Neurospora crassa OR74A: one gene and its partner. The protein of the gene in region 2 interacts with the protein of the main gene of each other region in a biochemical or structural test. Links are inferred from orthologs where the notes say so. Each region holds a gene or a part of one and is shown on either strand. Other genes may lie near its edges. The genes, in order: pp4 and NCU06389.

What was found.
Region 1: the proteins of NCU06389 (region 2) and pp4 form a complex in vitro, tested with the Saccharomyces cerevisiae proteins (2 studies listed by BioGRID). The link is inferred for Neurospora crassa OR74A from reciprocal best matches to the Saccharomyces cerevisiae genes PSY2 and PPH3.

What each region holds. Positions count from the first base shown.
Region 1 is NC_026504.1:2,482,885-2,490,801, forward strand, and holds pp4 (calcineurin-like phosphoesterase), read left to right. Parts: upstream 1-2,590; 5' UTR 2,591-3,003; coding exon 3,004-3,020; intron 3,021-3,108; coding exon 3,109-3,232; intron 3,233-3,294; coding exon 3,295-3,385; intron 3,386-3,462; coding exon 3,463-4,502; 3' UTR 4,503-4,977; downstream 4,978-7,917. Other genes in the region: NCU08302 (hypothetical protein), read right to left, coding at 1,291-1,662; NCU08300 (uncharacterized protein), read right to left, coding at 5,641-5,710, 5,825-6,007, 6,116-6,135, 6,220-6,222; NCU08299 (mitochondrial 54S ribosomal protein YmL3), read left to right, coding at 7,010-7,917. UniProt on the Saccharomyces cerevisiae protein: Forms the histone H2A phosphatase complex in association with the regulatory subunits PSY2 and PSY4, which dephosphorylates H2AS128ph (gamma-H2A) that has been displaced from sites of DNA lesions in the double-stranded DNA break repair process.
Region 2 is NC_026504.1:2,673,405-2,681,466, forward strand, and holds NCU06389 (DUF625 domain-containing protein), read right to left. Parts: upstream 5,088-8,062; 5' UTR 4,808-5,087; exon of another isoform or gene 4,743-4,807; 5' UTR 4,062-4,742; coding exon 3,827-4,061; intron 3,766-3,826; coding exon 3,687-3,765; intron 3,632-3,686; coding exon 2,268-3,631; intron 2,193-2,267; coding exon 940-2,192; 3' UTR 596-939; downstream 1-595. Other genes in the region: NCU06390 (hypothetical protein), read left to right, coding at 1-42.

The DNA of each region.
Region 1 (7,917 bases), about 190 kb from region 2:
CCTGGCTTGTCAGGATCTTGATTGAAGCTATGACCCCGGAGCTTGATGTAGTGAAGAACACCTGTGTTGAACAACACCGTACCTTCATTTCTGAACAGCTTAGCTATAGAAGGGGGGAGGCGGGGTTACCACTGCGACACTTCAAGCTGATGGTGATTCATGTTTCGTAAAGCCCATAGAACAGCTGACGGCCATTCCGTGGATTCTCAGTTTTGGTTAATTTGAAATTCCTGGAAGTTGACAGTGAAATGAAGGAAGTAAATGAAGTCAAGGTATGGACGAGGGAGCTGCATGTCCATTGACCAAGATCCACCCCCACGTTGAGGTTGGATCTGGGGTGCATGAAAGAGTCCCATCCGCCCCCGCTGCGAACCCCTGATCGCAACGCCAAGCTCTAGCAGGGTTCGGGTTCGACGGATTCCATTGATGAGAGCATGTTTTTTGGTTGATCTTGTGCCCTCATAACCGCATATTTCGGTCTACTAGCGCTCTGAGCCTAAACAGAATGTACAAGCATAATGTACAAGGGTAGATGCGTTCCGCAAGGGGACTCTCGCGTATCCGAGCTGCTAAGATGCAACATCCCAGATAAAAGAAAGCAAAGCCGGCTGCGTATTGCCGTCTGGACTTTTTGGCGGTACCAAGCTACGAGTTGAACTCCTGTTGGGGGTGGATGAGGGAAACGACTGGAGCCACCAAGACGCGAACGATGTAGGTAACAAGCTCCTGGGTAAACCTGGACAGACCGGTGGTGTATTAGACTTCTTTGACGACATCTCAAGAAGCAGGTATGTGGCCAAGCAAGGGCTATGTAGTCTTCGATTGTATCACCCACACAGGACTGTATGGTTGAACAGAAATTCCTGCCGGTCTCATTCTTCGATGAGCTCCAACATGCTGAGAAGGGTTCATGTAGGAATTCGTATGAGGAGATGATTTATTTGAGCCAGATAGGGTGCTGGTTAGTCGGGCTTTACATTCTTCATAAGGCGTGACCTGAACCGTTGGTTGCTGAACAGAAGGCTCGTTTTGTGATCGGGCTACATGCCGGCCGCCTTTTGACCACTCACTGCGAGCAATGTGACCCGGGAAATCTGATTTTCCAAACAAAAAAAAACCAAGGAACGGCCAACACCATGATGACTCCGTTCGACATATGGCCCATATCCGTGGATCGAGCAGCTCGTAGGTACAAGATTGATCACGAACGTCGTCTAGTTACAGAGCGTTATTATGGGGTCATTGCGATCCCATTCCCCCGGAGATCCAGCATTGTGTACGGTGTGGTCATCACCTGTTGGACGGAGACGAAGGGTCGTTGATATCGTTGTCTTTGTGGAAGCCGAGCATGCTGCCGAGCATACCCCCGGGCTTGGGCACTGGGCACTCTCTCTTCAGAGCTCGTGCCCTGCCTACGTCGCCAGACCCAGGCTCTGTCTCAAACTGCAGGATTTCGTCTTTGCCTTCGGTGTTTTCCACGCGTCTGCGTCTGCGTCTCTTGGGCTGTCCGTCGGCAGACATATCTCCATCGGCAAAAGCGACCCTGGGGGCGGGACACGGCAGGATGTGAGGGACGCCGACAACAAGGAAGCTGGCCACAACAGTTGCTGCGAAGAGGGAGGAAGTCATACGCGACCTCGGGTGGAGGTGAGGTGGTGGCATGATGAGTGGTATTCGGATTGGAGGGCGGGCGGGGTGCTTGACCAAGAGAGGTCCAGAGGAAGGGGGGTCTAAGTTTAGGGGAGCTTGCGCCAATTTCATCAGCCATTGAGGTTCGCGTTTTGGGCTTTGGGCCGACGGGACTCACTCGTGGCTTTTGCAACACTTAAAGGACCATCATGCGCGTTGGGAACAACCTGAACCCTTGAATATCACGAGATTGCAGCGGTTAACCTCAACGCGCAATGAGGAAGTCAGTGAGGATGAGGTATGTGCCACACAGGTGGGCAGGTTACTTGTCAAGATCGTCGTTGAGCGAACTGGACCGTGGACGGGACCTGTCGTCAAGCTCCGGGAAAATGGAGCTTCGATTGCGCTTTAGTTCCGTTCTCGAAAATATTTCGTCAGTGGACCCCTCGTCAGCTTCAGCTCTCAAAACTTCAATGGGCAGCTTCCCGCGCTGTCCCGCACTGGAATGGAAAGTGCATCTTCGCTCCTGCACTCCCGCCGCCCCAAGCTTCCTCCACGGCAGCTACACAGTACGTACCTAGGTACTAGCGCACACTACAGTACCTGAGCTCGTCTGGTGCCGAAATCTAACCAATGGCAGCTAGCGTGCTTGTCTCTTTACAAGTGCATTATGGGCGACGGCTCGCAACACGTGCACTTAACGGGGCTTTTGCACTTGCTGGTATCTCTCTCTCATACCAAACTGGGAATCCGGGCCGCCATAGGCTTGCACTTGATGGGCTACTTCTACCTTGCATGCGTTTGTAGAAAAGGGTACTGTATTTACCTCAGATGATGTAAACTACTATGCAGAAGGTAGGTATCTAGCACCTACGTACTGTGTACTGACCCGTTCGACGTTCACTCTCCCCACCAGACAGGGATTTCTACGGTTCACTTGGCAGTTCCAGGTCCCTGGGCCTGTCGCTAAAACTCCTTGCTCCCTGCTTCTTGCTGGATTGGCGACCGCCGCCATACCATTCGTGCCATTGTTGTCGAGGTTGTGGTTTCGCGCCATCCCCAGTCTCCCGTCGCAAAAAAAACAGAGCCGCCAGCCTAGAACACCTCAGCCCTGTCAACAGATCATTCGCCGCATCCCCACGACAACCATCAAGACCGATTCCAAAAGGGTTACTATCTGTGCTTGTTGCATCTGCAAGACGGACCACCAAACATTTCGGCATAGCATGACGCGAAGCTGACGCGACCCTACGAGACACCGCATTTCAACTTCTATTCTGACATACAAGCCTCTGCCCGGCTCAGTCCTCCTAACTGCGCGGCATCCACTCGCAGCAAAGCAGCATTATCTGTTATTCATAAGCCTCTACAGCCATGAGTGATCTGGACAGGTTAGTGCCCCGGTGGTCTTGCGATCGGGCATTCGCAACCACCCGCCGGCGACTATTGCTCGTGGTGTCTGACCTCTTTGGTGGATAGGGCGATCGCTCAGCTGCGAGCATGCCGGCCAATACCAGAATCAGACGTCCGCGAACTCTGTCACAAGGCCCGGGAAATCTTGATCGAAGAAGGAAACGTAGTTACAGTCAATGCGCCGGTAACGGTACGTCTCGAACTATCCAGATCGAAATACACACATGTCGAATCTAACCCAACGGCAACAAGATATGTGGAGATATTCATGGCCAGTTTCACGATTTGATGGAACTGTTCCGCGTCGGCGGCGATCCTCCCGATACCAATTATCTGTTTATGGGTAAGGCTGTCCCTGGTCTGTCAATCATGTCGTCAAAATCATGTTAAGCTGACTATTGTATTGTCGGATGTTGATAGGTGATTTCGTTGACCGTGGCTTCTACTCGCTCGAAACATTCTTACTTCTTCTCTGCCTTAAAGTTCGATACCCCGACCGCATGACCCTCATCAGAGGCAACCACGAATCACGACAGATTACAACTGTGTACGGTTTCTACGATGAATGTTACAGGAAATATGGCAGCGCGAATGTTTGGCGCTACTGCTGCGATGTGTTCGACTATCTCGCCTTGGGCGCTATTGTTCTTGGGGCCTCCAATACCATCTCACCAAGCGCCGGCGAGTCCAGTATACCAACAACACCTGAAGGAGGCGAGGTGGAAATCGAGGTGTGCAACGCACAGGGCGAGGTAATGAGCAGGTTTCCTCGGCCTAACAACGGGGCAGACAGCGATGTACAGAGCAGGACCAACGGGATACCACCACCGAGTAATACAGGCCCGCCTGGCTCAGGAGCGTCGGGATTGAGCAGAGGATCAGTGGGCAACCCAGCCGGCGCCGTTCTATGTGTGCACGGCGGCCTTAGTCCGCTGATAGACAAGGTTGACAAAATCAGGCTGCTGGACCGAAAACAGGAGGTTCCACATGAGGGTGCTATGTGCGACCTCTTGTGGTCCGATCCGGACGAGATTGACGGTTGGGGGTTGTCGCCTCGGGGTGCTGGCTTCCTCTTTGGTGCCGACATCGTCAAAGTGTTCAATCATCGCAATGACCTCAGCCTGATCGCCCGTGCCCATCAGCTGGTCATGGAAGGTTTTAAGGAAATGTTCGATGCCAGCATCGTTACCGTTTGGTCAGCACCAAATTACTGCTATCGCTGCGGAAACGTTGCTGCACTTCTTGAGCTATCGGAAGACGATTCAGGCTTGGGTGTGCTTGCCCGCAGTAATGGCGATGTCAATCGCAGTAATGGCGGTGCAGGATCTTCTGGAGGGCTTGGAGAGGGTGAGCTACAACCGATGAAGGGTCCAGCAAGGCGTTACCGGGTCTTCCAGGCGGCTCCTCAGGATTCAAGGGGAATGCCAGCCAAGAAGCCAGTGGCCGACTACTTCCTGTAAACCCGATACCGGGCATTTTTTGGAATATGTTGTCCCATGTTCGGTCTACGAGGACAGGTTTGACTACATAACTTGCGACATGTAGCTCAGTGTGCGTATTATTTTGGGACACTATACCCCAGCGTCATGGATTTTGGGTTGAAAGATCTTTGTCCAGGAAAACCCAAGAAATGGGCCTGCAATGTCTGGTCGGGAAAACATTGGCATGAAATTCGTTAAATAAATCGACCGGACATAGTATTTGAAACTGCCAGATAGATTTGGCACACCCAGGATCGTAACTCTCCTGTATGGGTGTGAGTCGAAGTTCGAGCGATAGGCTGAGCCATCGTCTCCCTCATTCCATTATGCAGGGTCCTATAGAAGCATACCACTTTTGAATCAACGTGAAGATGACGGAACCACTCAGCTCCTACCAGTCAGTATATATGAAGTTCACTGCGAACATAGATAGGCCAATTCTCAGATATGTTGCCATTGAGTGTCCGGGAAGCGGTAAGGCAGAGATCGGGAGCAAATCAGGCTACATGGAAGGTAGAATGGACTTATCGACGGCAGTTCCGATCCGGGATGATCGGCTTCGGACGCGCGCCGGCCCAGCTCCATCCGGTGCGGGTCCCAGGTCGCCGTGTCCGCTGTCTTGATGCCGAGTCATGAACCGACCGAAAAGCTCCGCACAGCCAGGAACTGAGGTCCGCCGAGGCCCACCTCGATTAAATAGACAGTCGAGGTTTCCACAGCAGCTTACCTTGTTGCTTGCGTTTACACCAAAACATGCGAAGAACATTGTTAAGGCATGTTCACGATTCAAAGTCATGGAAGGTGGGCTCTTCTCTGTGAGTTCACTAGTATTCGCCAATAGTACGAAACGGTAAGAATAGAGGTAGTTTCCTCTATAATCCATTACAGAACTGATCCACATCAAAGTTAGCTTTATTCACGACGTAGCCAGGCTCTGGAGCACCAACGCAAGACGGCCAGCGGAGGGTAACCGACGTTGAATGTATTCCGAATATTGCATTACTACCACCAACCGGCCGGCCTCAACCAAGCCAAGATGTCCTGTTATTCCATCAAGCCTTTGGAAGCCATGTACTGTATGACCAAACGGCCGGGGTGGCAGGGCCTATGCCCAAATTTACTTTTTCTCCTGTGTCGTCCCGTTCTCCTTTTGCGCCCGCTCATACTCGATAATCTGTCTGCTCCAGCTAGTGGAGGTAATATCGGTTGCGTCAGCTTAAGAACATCCCCGCGGTCTGCGCTCGCGGAAAACGTTACGCATGTATAAAAATTTGGATGGGGGTCTGTCTGCCAGGACATACTATCTGCTGGGATAAAAGCGACCAGGCTCGGGCATCTTGTGACGGTACTCTTTCTCGGCGCTAAGCTTCCAGACTGCGGCAGTGATGAGGAAGACGACGCCACCGAGAACAGCCGTGTTCTTCTTCCAGTTGGCCGGCTGGGCGTACCAACCACCCGAAGGCGACCAGACGTGTTTGGGGTAGCTGGAGTGAAGGGCGAGGCAACGATTAGGACGGATCCATGACACAACGCAGGCTGGGTTGGACAGAATGCGCGGAGGGTTTGCGCATGTCGAGGGCGATGAAACTCACGGAACTTGGGGACCGCCGCCCTATAGACAGGAAAAATAGAGAGTTAGCAGACACAAAACATAGTAGTGATGATGGCTATTCTAAGCAATCGGGTGGATACGCACCATTGTGATGAAGTTTTGGGATATGTGGTGAGGTAGGTTGGACGTTCAACGAGGAATGATTCTTTCCACCTCGCAGTTAAGCAAGATCGGTTTGTACTGTCAACTTTGCGATGCACTGCGAACGACGGCACAATAGTGGTGATGCTTCAGCGGGAACAATTGGATAGAAGGACGAATGATGAATCCGCCTACAGGCTGACGAGGGGCTAAATCGCATCAACCATCCAGGCCTGAAAGTCACCATGTCACTCGTCCTAACTGGGGCCGAGGGCGCATGCGACAGACGGGCGGCGGGCGGCGGGCGGGCAGCTCCCGCTTGTCCACCACAGTGCACCGTATGCTAAACAGACAGCGCAGATAGTGGATTGGGGTCGAAGATGGATCTTGTGGGGACCCTCACTGGGCCAACAACGAATCATGTCAGCCGGCTTTTATGTCTCGGTCTTGGGGGAGTAACCCCTGCGCTTGAGCACTGATTCACGGCTCTGGGTGGTGGGCTTGTCTAGTGTACGGGTGGTGAGCGTTCAGATTGGAGAACTTTTTTTTTCTACCCGTGTTCGACGGCCGGCCGAGTCTGAACGAGAACCCATCCGATCAACGCGCGACTCCGACCGGGATCCCGAGTAGCTTCCCACCCCGCGACCACCGGCTCACCACCTGCCCGTCCGATTTCCCTCACTCCATCCTTTTCTTGGCAGGGCCTCCAGACGGCGCACACTTACGGAACCTGGGCCCCAGCACGTCAACACCCGGTTGTCGAGCCGACCATCACCCATCAAATATATCGCCCATGAAGAGGATAGCAACGCCCAGCTTGACGAGCCGGCTGCTCGTCGCCGCTCGCTCCGGAGTGTCGCCCGCCACTGCCGCCATCCGATCCCGATCTGCAATCTCGGTGCGATCGCAATCGACAGCTGCCCTCGCTCAGCACGATGCATCCCACGATCTCAACAATGATCGGTTCCCCCCGCTTGAGCCCCTCCCCCCCGCGGCCGAGTCCCTACCGTCGCCCCTCCCCGAACGGGCCTTGACCTCGGCCAAACTGGCCGCCCTCCACGCCCGTTTGAATCTTTCTCCCAAGATCCCCTTACAGACATTGGCAAGGACACTGGTCGACGCCTCGGCCGACGAGAACCCGCAGTTCAACAACGCCAACCTCGCCTTCGTTGGCCAGACCCTCATCAACTACCATATTGCCGAATGGCTCCTCTGCAAATACCCCCGTCTACCCCAGGGAATTCTCTTCAGTGCCATGAAGGCTTATGCCGGACCGAAGCCCTTGCTCCAGATTGCGCGGTCATGGGGTGTTGATACCGCCGCGGTGCCCGGCGGCGAGGTGGATCCCGGTCTTCTGCAGTTCGATGCCCTTAAGCCCGGCGTCGCCATCACAAATTTCGGCTACAAGCGTACAGAGCTCGCCTACCTCGAGAAGTTCAAGTGGCGTCGCGGTATGGCCTCGCGTGTCGTTCTCGACGACGACTTTGGTGATGTCGTGCGCAGCGACCCCAAGGTTGCCGCCGATCTGGAGAAGGCGATGGAAGAGCAGGATCAGGACAAGACTCCCGACGAGGAGGAGGCCGAGATGGTCGCTAATGAGCAGGACCAGGACGTGAGCTACGACCGCTACGGCAACCCCGACACCCGGGCCGCTGCTGAGCGGGCCCACGCCTACTTTGTGCGCGCCGTCGTCGGTGCCAT
Region 2 (8,062 bases):
GGGAACGAGATGAGGAGAAATTCGAGGTTTTTGTGGCAATAAACTCTTATGAAGCATGTACTACATGCGGCATGAAGGGGTCGGCTGTTTTGTTCCTTCCTCTGACTTTCCCCCCTTTGTCGTTTCCACACATTTTCACAAAGTTTTCATTCAAAAGATTATGGTTATGGGTGTGAATATCACTTCTCTTTCTTCAGTATTCAAGGACGCAAAGAGATGAAACCAAAAGGAAAAGGCCAGACCCTTGACAATATCTTAGATGTCTTACTCCTCTCATATTACCGTGTTTTTTTACTTTCTAATTTTTTTTTTTTTTTTTTTTTTTTTTTTTTTTTCATATACTTCAAAAGCTAGTTGATGTTGGTCATGTGAACGTCTTATACCTCTCGCAACTTATAATCACGGGAATGGGCATGAATGGGATGGACAGCAAATGGCCTGGTCAGAGTAGCTGGTTATACTACTATACCTATGGAATCTGATATGAAAAAGCCGGGTTGACCGATTCAAAGCTCTAATGTATCGTATCGTATTGCATCGTATCGCATGGGTTGGCGGGCACCCATGCAGACCAATTGATATGGATGAATGAATGAAAATAATTTAGAGGAGGGAACAATGTTATCTGATGTACACTACTATGCTGTTAGTAGGAGGGGGGGCCTCATGAACCCCGGCCTTGTCGATGCGACTATACCGGGTTCAAGACGTGAACAAATTGTTGAACTGTAAATATACCAGGCTATATTCATCTGTTTGTGAGGTGGTGAATCAAATCGGTACGGTGCCAATCCATATCTATGAAGAATATATGTGTGTTTTCGCCTTTATTTTGCCTCCCTAAAGTTTTGGCTTTCACTTTCCGCCTTTCCCCTTCCTTGCCTTCCTTCCCATTCCCCCCTTTCGCGTTGCCTTCCTTGACCCAACCCAAGGCAGCCTCTAGTCTTTCATTGCGTTTGGATCTTCTTCTTCTTCCCCTTCCACTTCTTGTACCACTGACTTTGAAGTCTCCTTCCCCTCCTCCTTCTCCTCTCTTTCTCCTATCCTCACATTTTCCTTTCCTGATGCAGTTGTAGCACCCGTTGTTATTGAAGTTTCTTGCGCTTTATCATTCGCGCTAGTCGTTGTTGTATTGGGATCTGCCTCCGGCTCCGAAGGTTTCCCACCACCACCACCACCAAGCATGCTTTTGACTTTGGAAGAGATATTGAAAGCAATTTTCTTTGGTGTGCTTAGACTCGTAGTGACGGCGGTGGCAGCAGCTAGAGGGGAAGCAGGGTTAGGAGATGTGCGATCTGCCATTGAAGTACCATTGTCCTCGGTGGTGGCACCCTCGGCCGCAGGTCCATCATCCTCAGAGATACCCATCTTCTTGCGAATGTCTGCACCGGCGCTCGCGGCACTGGCATTGCTCCCTCGGCGCTTGGACTGCAGTAACTTGTCGAACGCATCGTCATCCTCGTCTTCTTCACGGCGCCGCTTCTCAGAGATCCTCTCTGGCGGGGTGGCGACAACGGCGGCAGCGGCGGCTGTGGCCGGCCCACCTTTTGTTGGTGTTACTGGTGGTTCGCCGTTCGACTTTGCGCTGTTGTCTTCATCGTCCTTCTTTGCTGGGGCAGTTGCCTCATCACCCGCCACGCCGTCTTCATCATCCGAGCCGTATTCGACTAAGGGCTTCAGCAGAGGAAGAGTAGTAGCGGTGCCGTTGGTACGATGGGAGTCATTTTGAGGTCCTTCATCCTCTTCGTCCGATACGCCGTTCCAGTATTCCTCTTGAGCCTGGTCGACGGTGAGTTGTTCCTCCATCAGACCGGAGGTCGGCCTCGTCGGTCTCCTTTCGCTCTCGGCCGCAGTTGGTCCCTCATCTTCGTCTTCATCCATGAAATACTCGGGATTGGTTGTGTAGCCTTCCGTCTGGTCGTACCGACTGACCATTTCGCGGAAGGTATCCATGTGCGACAGCGCCATAATCTTTTCCCGGTAATTTTCCACGAGGTGCTTAATTAGGTCCTTAACATTCTCCTTATTAATGAGGACGAAAAGATCGAGGCAAGCTGAACAAAGAAGGTTGTCGCGGGTAATCGCTCTTAATAGCACATCGAGAATAGGGCCGAGAATTTGCTTCTCTGCAATGTGCTTCATGTAAAATTCGTCGTTCATCAATACCAGTTGCTTGATAAATCGAATGGCCACTAAAAGCAGTTAACATGCAGGTTAGCCTCCTCTGCTCGACAATTTAACCATTGTTCCCAAGTTGCTGTGCCTACCGAGCTGCAGATGCTTTTGCTTGCATGAAAGCAACTGAACGAAGCGCTGTGCCAGACTGTGGGTGATGAGGAAGTACTTGGCCCTGTGTTGGTGTTGTCGGATGAAGGAGCAGAGTATGTCGTTCAGGTAGCCGAAGATGTACTCCTGCATGGGCTGGAACTTCAACTCCGTCTGCCCTTCGAGATCGAGCAGTGGCTTAAAAAGCCTGGCGGCCGAGTTTTCATAGAAGTGCTGTATCAGAAGTTCTTGCTGCGGGTCGATGCTCTGAAGCTGTCTCAATCGCTGCTGGTTGGGAGGATACTCTCTTGCATCTGGCGGCATGATCGGCGCCACATCGAGCAAAATCCGAAGGGCATCCTGCATTTGCGACTTGACACCGAGATCAACCTCAACCAGAAGAAGGTCGATGATCACATCAGTGAGAGGCTTCTGACGTTCCTGCAGCTGTCGGTAAATCGTATGCCGAACCATCTGGGGATCGTGATCAATCATGGCCACGAGGATATCAGTAGCATGAACTCGTACAGTGACGTCGTGATCACACAAGCCGAAGTTAATGACACGAACAAGACCATGACCAAGGAAATTGGTATACAGATTTTGCCTTGCTGGTGGTTGAAGATTCTTGGCGATGGCACAGCAATCGTGGAGGAAAGTAACGGCCTGTTTTTTGCGTAGGTGTTGCGCAGAGGGGTCGGCGAATATCGAGAAGAGGTCGTTTAGGAACCCACCGTTAGTCTGGATATGGTTGATGATATCAACCTGGTTGAAGAAGATGAGCGAGTTGAGGACGGAGAAGGTCGGGTCATCTAGGATTCGGGCCAGAACCACATCCTTGAGATACAGCAAGCGGAAGGTCTGTTGAATCTTGCGCCGGATTGTATCATCCTCAATCTTGACCACCTCCTTGAAACGGGTCTGGTTGCTCAACCACTGCCGGTGGTTCGCCTTGTGCTTCGGGAAGTCGGGATCGTACTCGAGGGCACCCACCACACCGAGGACACATTCATCAGAAACAGCCTTTTCAATGATTGCAGTGTCGTTTAGGAGGAGCATCGTCTTGGTCATGTTGCAAAGACGAAATAGGTCGTCGAGGCTCTCGAGATCTTCCGCCATCTCGACTAGGTTGCCTAATGAGGGTATGATGTCGTGCTCCATGATGGACTTGACCAGCATCTCGCGGCCATTAGCGGTATTGGACATCTGGCGCATGATATTCTCGAGGTCGGGTAGGTTCGCCAGATCGGCCGGGGGGAGCGTGAAAGTCGAGTTTGACATATCCATAGTAAGATCCTCGGAGAGACTGTCGTCGGCGCCGCCCAGGACATTGTGGAAGGTTTGTTGGACGCCGTCAATAAATTTCCTGACATGATGATTAACGGGCGCATACATTGACGAATCGCGGAGATGGGACCAACCATATCATGGCGCAACCCTCGGCTTCCTGGAAGCTCAAGGCCATATCCACATTGTTCTCGGTCCATACAATCAGGGTATCTGTAAAGACAGTTAGCAGTGCGATGGTGGGGGTCGACGGTAATGGTTCAGGGCAACGCGCCTTGTTGTTTTTGAAAGCCATCGTCTTTAACGATCTTGGTCTCGAGTAGAAGCCGGTCGGGGTGGTCTTCGGATTCGACGATAACGCGGGGCTCCTTTGGCTGGTTCTCCTGGACGGGGACGAACTGGGCGGTGCAGAAGCCGGTACCGCGATCGAACCAGTCATTGTTACGGAGTTCGTAGACCTTGACGCGCTTCTTGTCCGTTGTGTGATGAGGCACCGGGTGTGCCATCATCAAGGAATCGGCGTCCCCCTCCGGGACGGTCTGATCGTGGTCGAGCAGGTCGTCGGACAGATCGATATGCTGGTGCTCAAGAGGTAATTCGGCCCCGGCGTGACTGATAACCGCAAGTGCCGCCACTTTTTATCGAAGCGATGCGCGCCGGATTCTGCGCGCGATGGGGGAGGGCTGAGGGTCGCACGGGAGCAATCGCGCTAGATAAGGCCGAGGTCTGATGAAACGGGTTGACAGTGTGGAGAAGTCGAAGTTCTGGACTTTCGGGGGGAAATTGGGATACGGGCGTCTGGCGCAAGCGGCGTCGGGGGGGTGTGACGTCGCAAGAAAATTGGGATAATATAGACCAATATTAATTTAGAAAATGAATCGTCCCGCCTTTGGGTTCTGCTGCTCTCACGCCAGGCTGTTACGGGTACGTAGAGGTAGGACGTTCTGAACTTCTGATAACCCGACGGGCAGCAAGTCGTCGAGCCTTGTGCGGTCGGCTGAAGAAAAGGTCGAGATAGCCTGTATCTGTATCCGCCGGGGGCCAAGGGTAATACTGTAGAGAGATGTACCAGGAGTAGCAAAGTCGAAGGTAGCGAGCAATAGCGCGATGGCTAGGAGCTGAGGGAGTAAAAAAAGAAACCACAAAAAAGCACTTGAGAAAAAAAAAAAAAAAAAAACTCGAGATGGCGACTTGGCGATGGAATCTTGTCAGCCGATCTGGGAAGCGCGAAAGGCGATAACGAGGAAAAGCGCACCTGTCAAGTCGAGATTGAATTGAATGAGACCAGGTAGAGACTACTACTAAGCGCGCCGCAGGGTCAGATTGAAGAAAGTGGCTTAGGCGTTGCCGCAAGATATGATGAAATCGCGGGTCAATCGCGCTGGGAAATCCCGTTCCTGCTGCAGGCCCAAGGTTGCGACGACCGGCTTCCAGGTTCAGGATGTCTCGTGAAGCCTCTGATGGGGGAAGGGCAGGGCACGGAGCTACGGGGGCAATGGGGCGACGGGGTCTTGTTGACGCTTGACGAAAACCAGTGGGTGACCCGCGGGGAGAGACGGGGACCGAACGGGAGGGAGCCGCGAACAGATTCGCTGAATGGATGGTTGAAAGTGGAAACTGCCCGTCAAGCGTGCAAAGTGGGTGGAAGCACCGCCTGTCGAAGTGCTGTGAGGTGACTTCGTGCCCGACGTTCAGTGTTACACATGTCGGTACGTAGGTACCTCTAGGTACTGTGATGCCATTTGTTGCTTGGCTCGAGCTTTAGCTACCCTGCCGCGCGGATCTTGGCGTGCATCTCTGTTAACAATCCAGATCAAGCTTAGCGCGCCGGAACCCCTAGGCTGCCAGGTGCCAGCAGACAAGGGCAAATGGAAGGTCAGGCCGCCCGTGGAAGTCCAAGTCAGATGCCAGAATGAAAAGATACTCTATCTCTATACTGACTGTTTTCACGATGGAGGGTTTTCCGTCTGGCTTGCTGATAATGAACTAAACCAATGCTGACGTCAATGCCGCGAAAGAGATGAAAGCGCGTTCTACCAATGTTAAGAGAAAGTGGACGCGCCGCGGAACGTCTTATTAAGCATAGGTACTTCGCTGCTTTGACGCACCCAGTGCACACCATGACACGCGCACCTCGGCTGCTCTTCCGAAAGCTTCGTTCGCAAAAGTTGGGATTTTAGGGTTTAAACTTCTACCCTCCCAGCTCGTTCCCCCAGTGCCCGAATCCAGGCCATGTCACATTTATATCGATGAGATCCACCCCCTCCGCCCTATCTCTGGGGCGGTCAAAAGCACGTCTCCCGGCTGCCACAAATATTTTGCATACTGTACACTAGGTCAAAGGATCTCGAGCTCCACTTCCCCCGTTCCCCATTCCGGCTATGACCTTCACGTCTCCATTCCGAGACATTGAAGCACTGGAGTCACAGACTGACAATTGGAATGGTCGGATGGAAGAAGTAGGATCCTGGAAGTACGCCAGCGACAATCCTCCAGCCAAATACCTTACCTCAAAGCGAAGTCGCTGGTGGAGGACAATTTTAAAGTGGAGACAGCATGCCTTATGATCCTATCTCCATTTGAATGCGTTCCCAGGGCACGTCCACCAATTACCTGTAATTACCTTTTCTCGTACCTTTGTCTCGCTGGACGCCTTCTTGTCGGCAACATGGCCTCCCAGGGGCACTCCGCTGTCAGAGGCGTTCCCCTCAGGTATCCCCGCTCCCACGCCACCCCGCTCCCGCTCTCTCCCGCGGTGCCGTTCTATTCTTTCGGGGTCTTCCAGGTTATCGGGGTCTCACACCCGACTCGAGGTAATTTATCGGGACCCACATTGTCCGGTCAGGCCCGGATCCACTTCTGAATAACCTTAACCTCCCGCCCCCGCTTGTCTCAACCCGAACTCCCGACTCTGGGTCTCAAGCCCCACTGAATTACCATCGCCAGAAAAAGAAGGTCTCAACATGTGTACACTAAAACCGGTGGGACTAACATCGTGGAACTTGCCTCTCCTTTGTCTCGGCTTCATATTGCCCGTCGTCGACATCCTGTGGCATCATCTCTCTCACGGTGCGCTAGCGTTGCGGTTATCGCACACCTAAACACCCACTACATACCACCTCCAATTCTCAAGCACCGGCGAGTACGATGGTGTCCATGACAACAATTACATCTTCATCTTCCAGTCCAGCCACCAGACTCTAGGCGCTTGAGCACTGGCACCTTATCATTGGAAACCCCCCCGGGCTTCACGATATCCACCTCGGGGATGAGGTAGTGACCCTGGCTTCAAGGTTCAAGATGCTCCCCTTTCTCATTTACCATTGCCTACCTATTTGCCGCTGATTTTGGCCAGCACAACTTAAGGCTATGCTGACACTGCTTTTTTTTTTTTTCTTTTTTTGTCTTGTTTGTTTATTCTGCACGATATCTGGAGGATCCTCGGGTGGCGGGACATGGCCTTATGTCACCCACTCAAAAGGCAACGGTACACTTCGTGTCTCTAAATTCAAGACGTTGTGGTCTGGAGGCATGATACAACGAGGGCTAAATGCTACAAGCGAAGAATTTTCTTGCTTTCCGTTGCGCGTTCATTCATGTAGCCCGGGATTGCCGCAGCTAACGCCTCCAACACTTGTCACCTTGGAAAAGGAACGTAGCGAATCATCTGCAACAAGAGCTACCATCTGTCCTTCAAACCCCCACGCCAGCTTTCTGCTCCTCTGAAACAGACTCGAATGGTGACAGAAATCACATCTTCGACAATCACAAGCCAATGCAGCATCCGTCGGATGATGGCAGCGGCTGGATTGTTGATCTCCTGAGACAGGCCTGGCCATGGCTTTATACGGCTTGAAAGTTTTGTTCTTCTTTTCTTCTTCTTCTTCTTCTTCTTCTCCTCCCACGTCGTGTTCTACTGCTAACGAGGTGATACACACCAGGTTCGGGACGCCGTACTTTAGCCATGGTCAAATCTTGAGACAGAGCAGGAACACTCCGTATCGTGGCGAGCGCTACTATCGTGACGGGCCTTGGTCTTGGCCATGCCGTATCCGAATTCCAAGCCCCGACGCCTAATTTTCTCGATGTCATGGGCTGCACCGAAGCCGATTGGCTTTGCAATCATGAAGATAATACTCCTGCCACGATGGCCCTGGCCTGTGGAAAAAGCATTAGGAGGATCATCAATGCATCACCCGAGATCAACAGCATCGGCACAGCACCGGCAGGCTGCCTCTTCTGGGCTCAAGATTCGCGATTGACTGCTAGCTTCGGGTGACAGCAAGATATGTGCCACGATGTGATCGGGAAACAGGCTGCAGGAGGCTGGATTTGTGTGCGTATGCCGGTACTGCGGTTACGCCAGGAACCCGTCAGTCTTGTATTCCGGCCAATCGCATCCTGCCCGAATAGCCATGCTTATCTCGAATTTGCCTGTTCGAGGCTGCAATCAGCAAGGAACAATGTCGAATTGGGCATTGATGGTATCGCCGAGATATCCTCCTAGCTG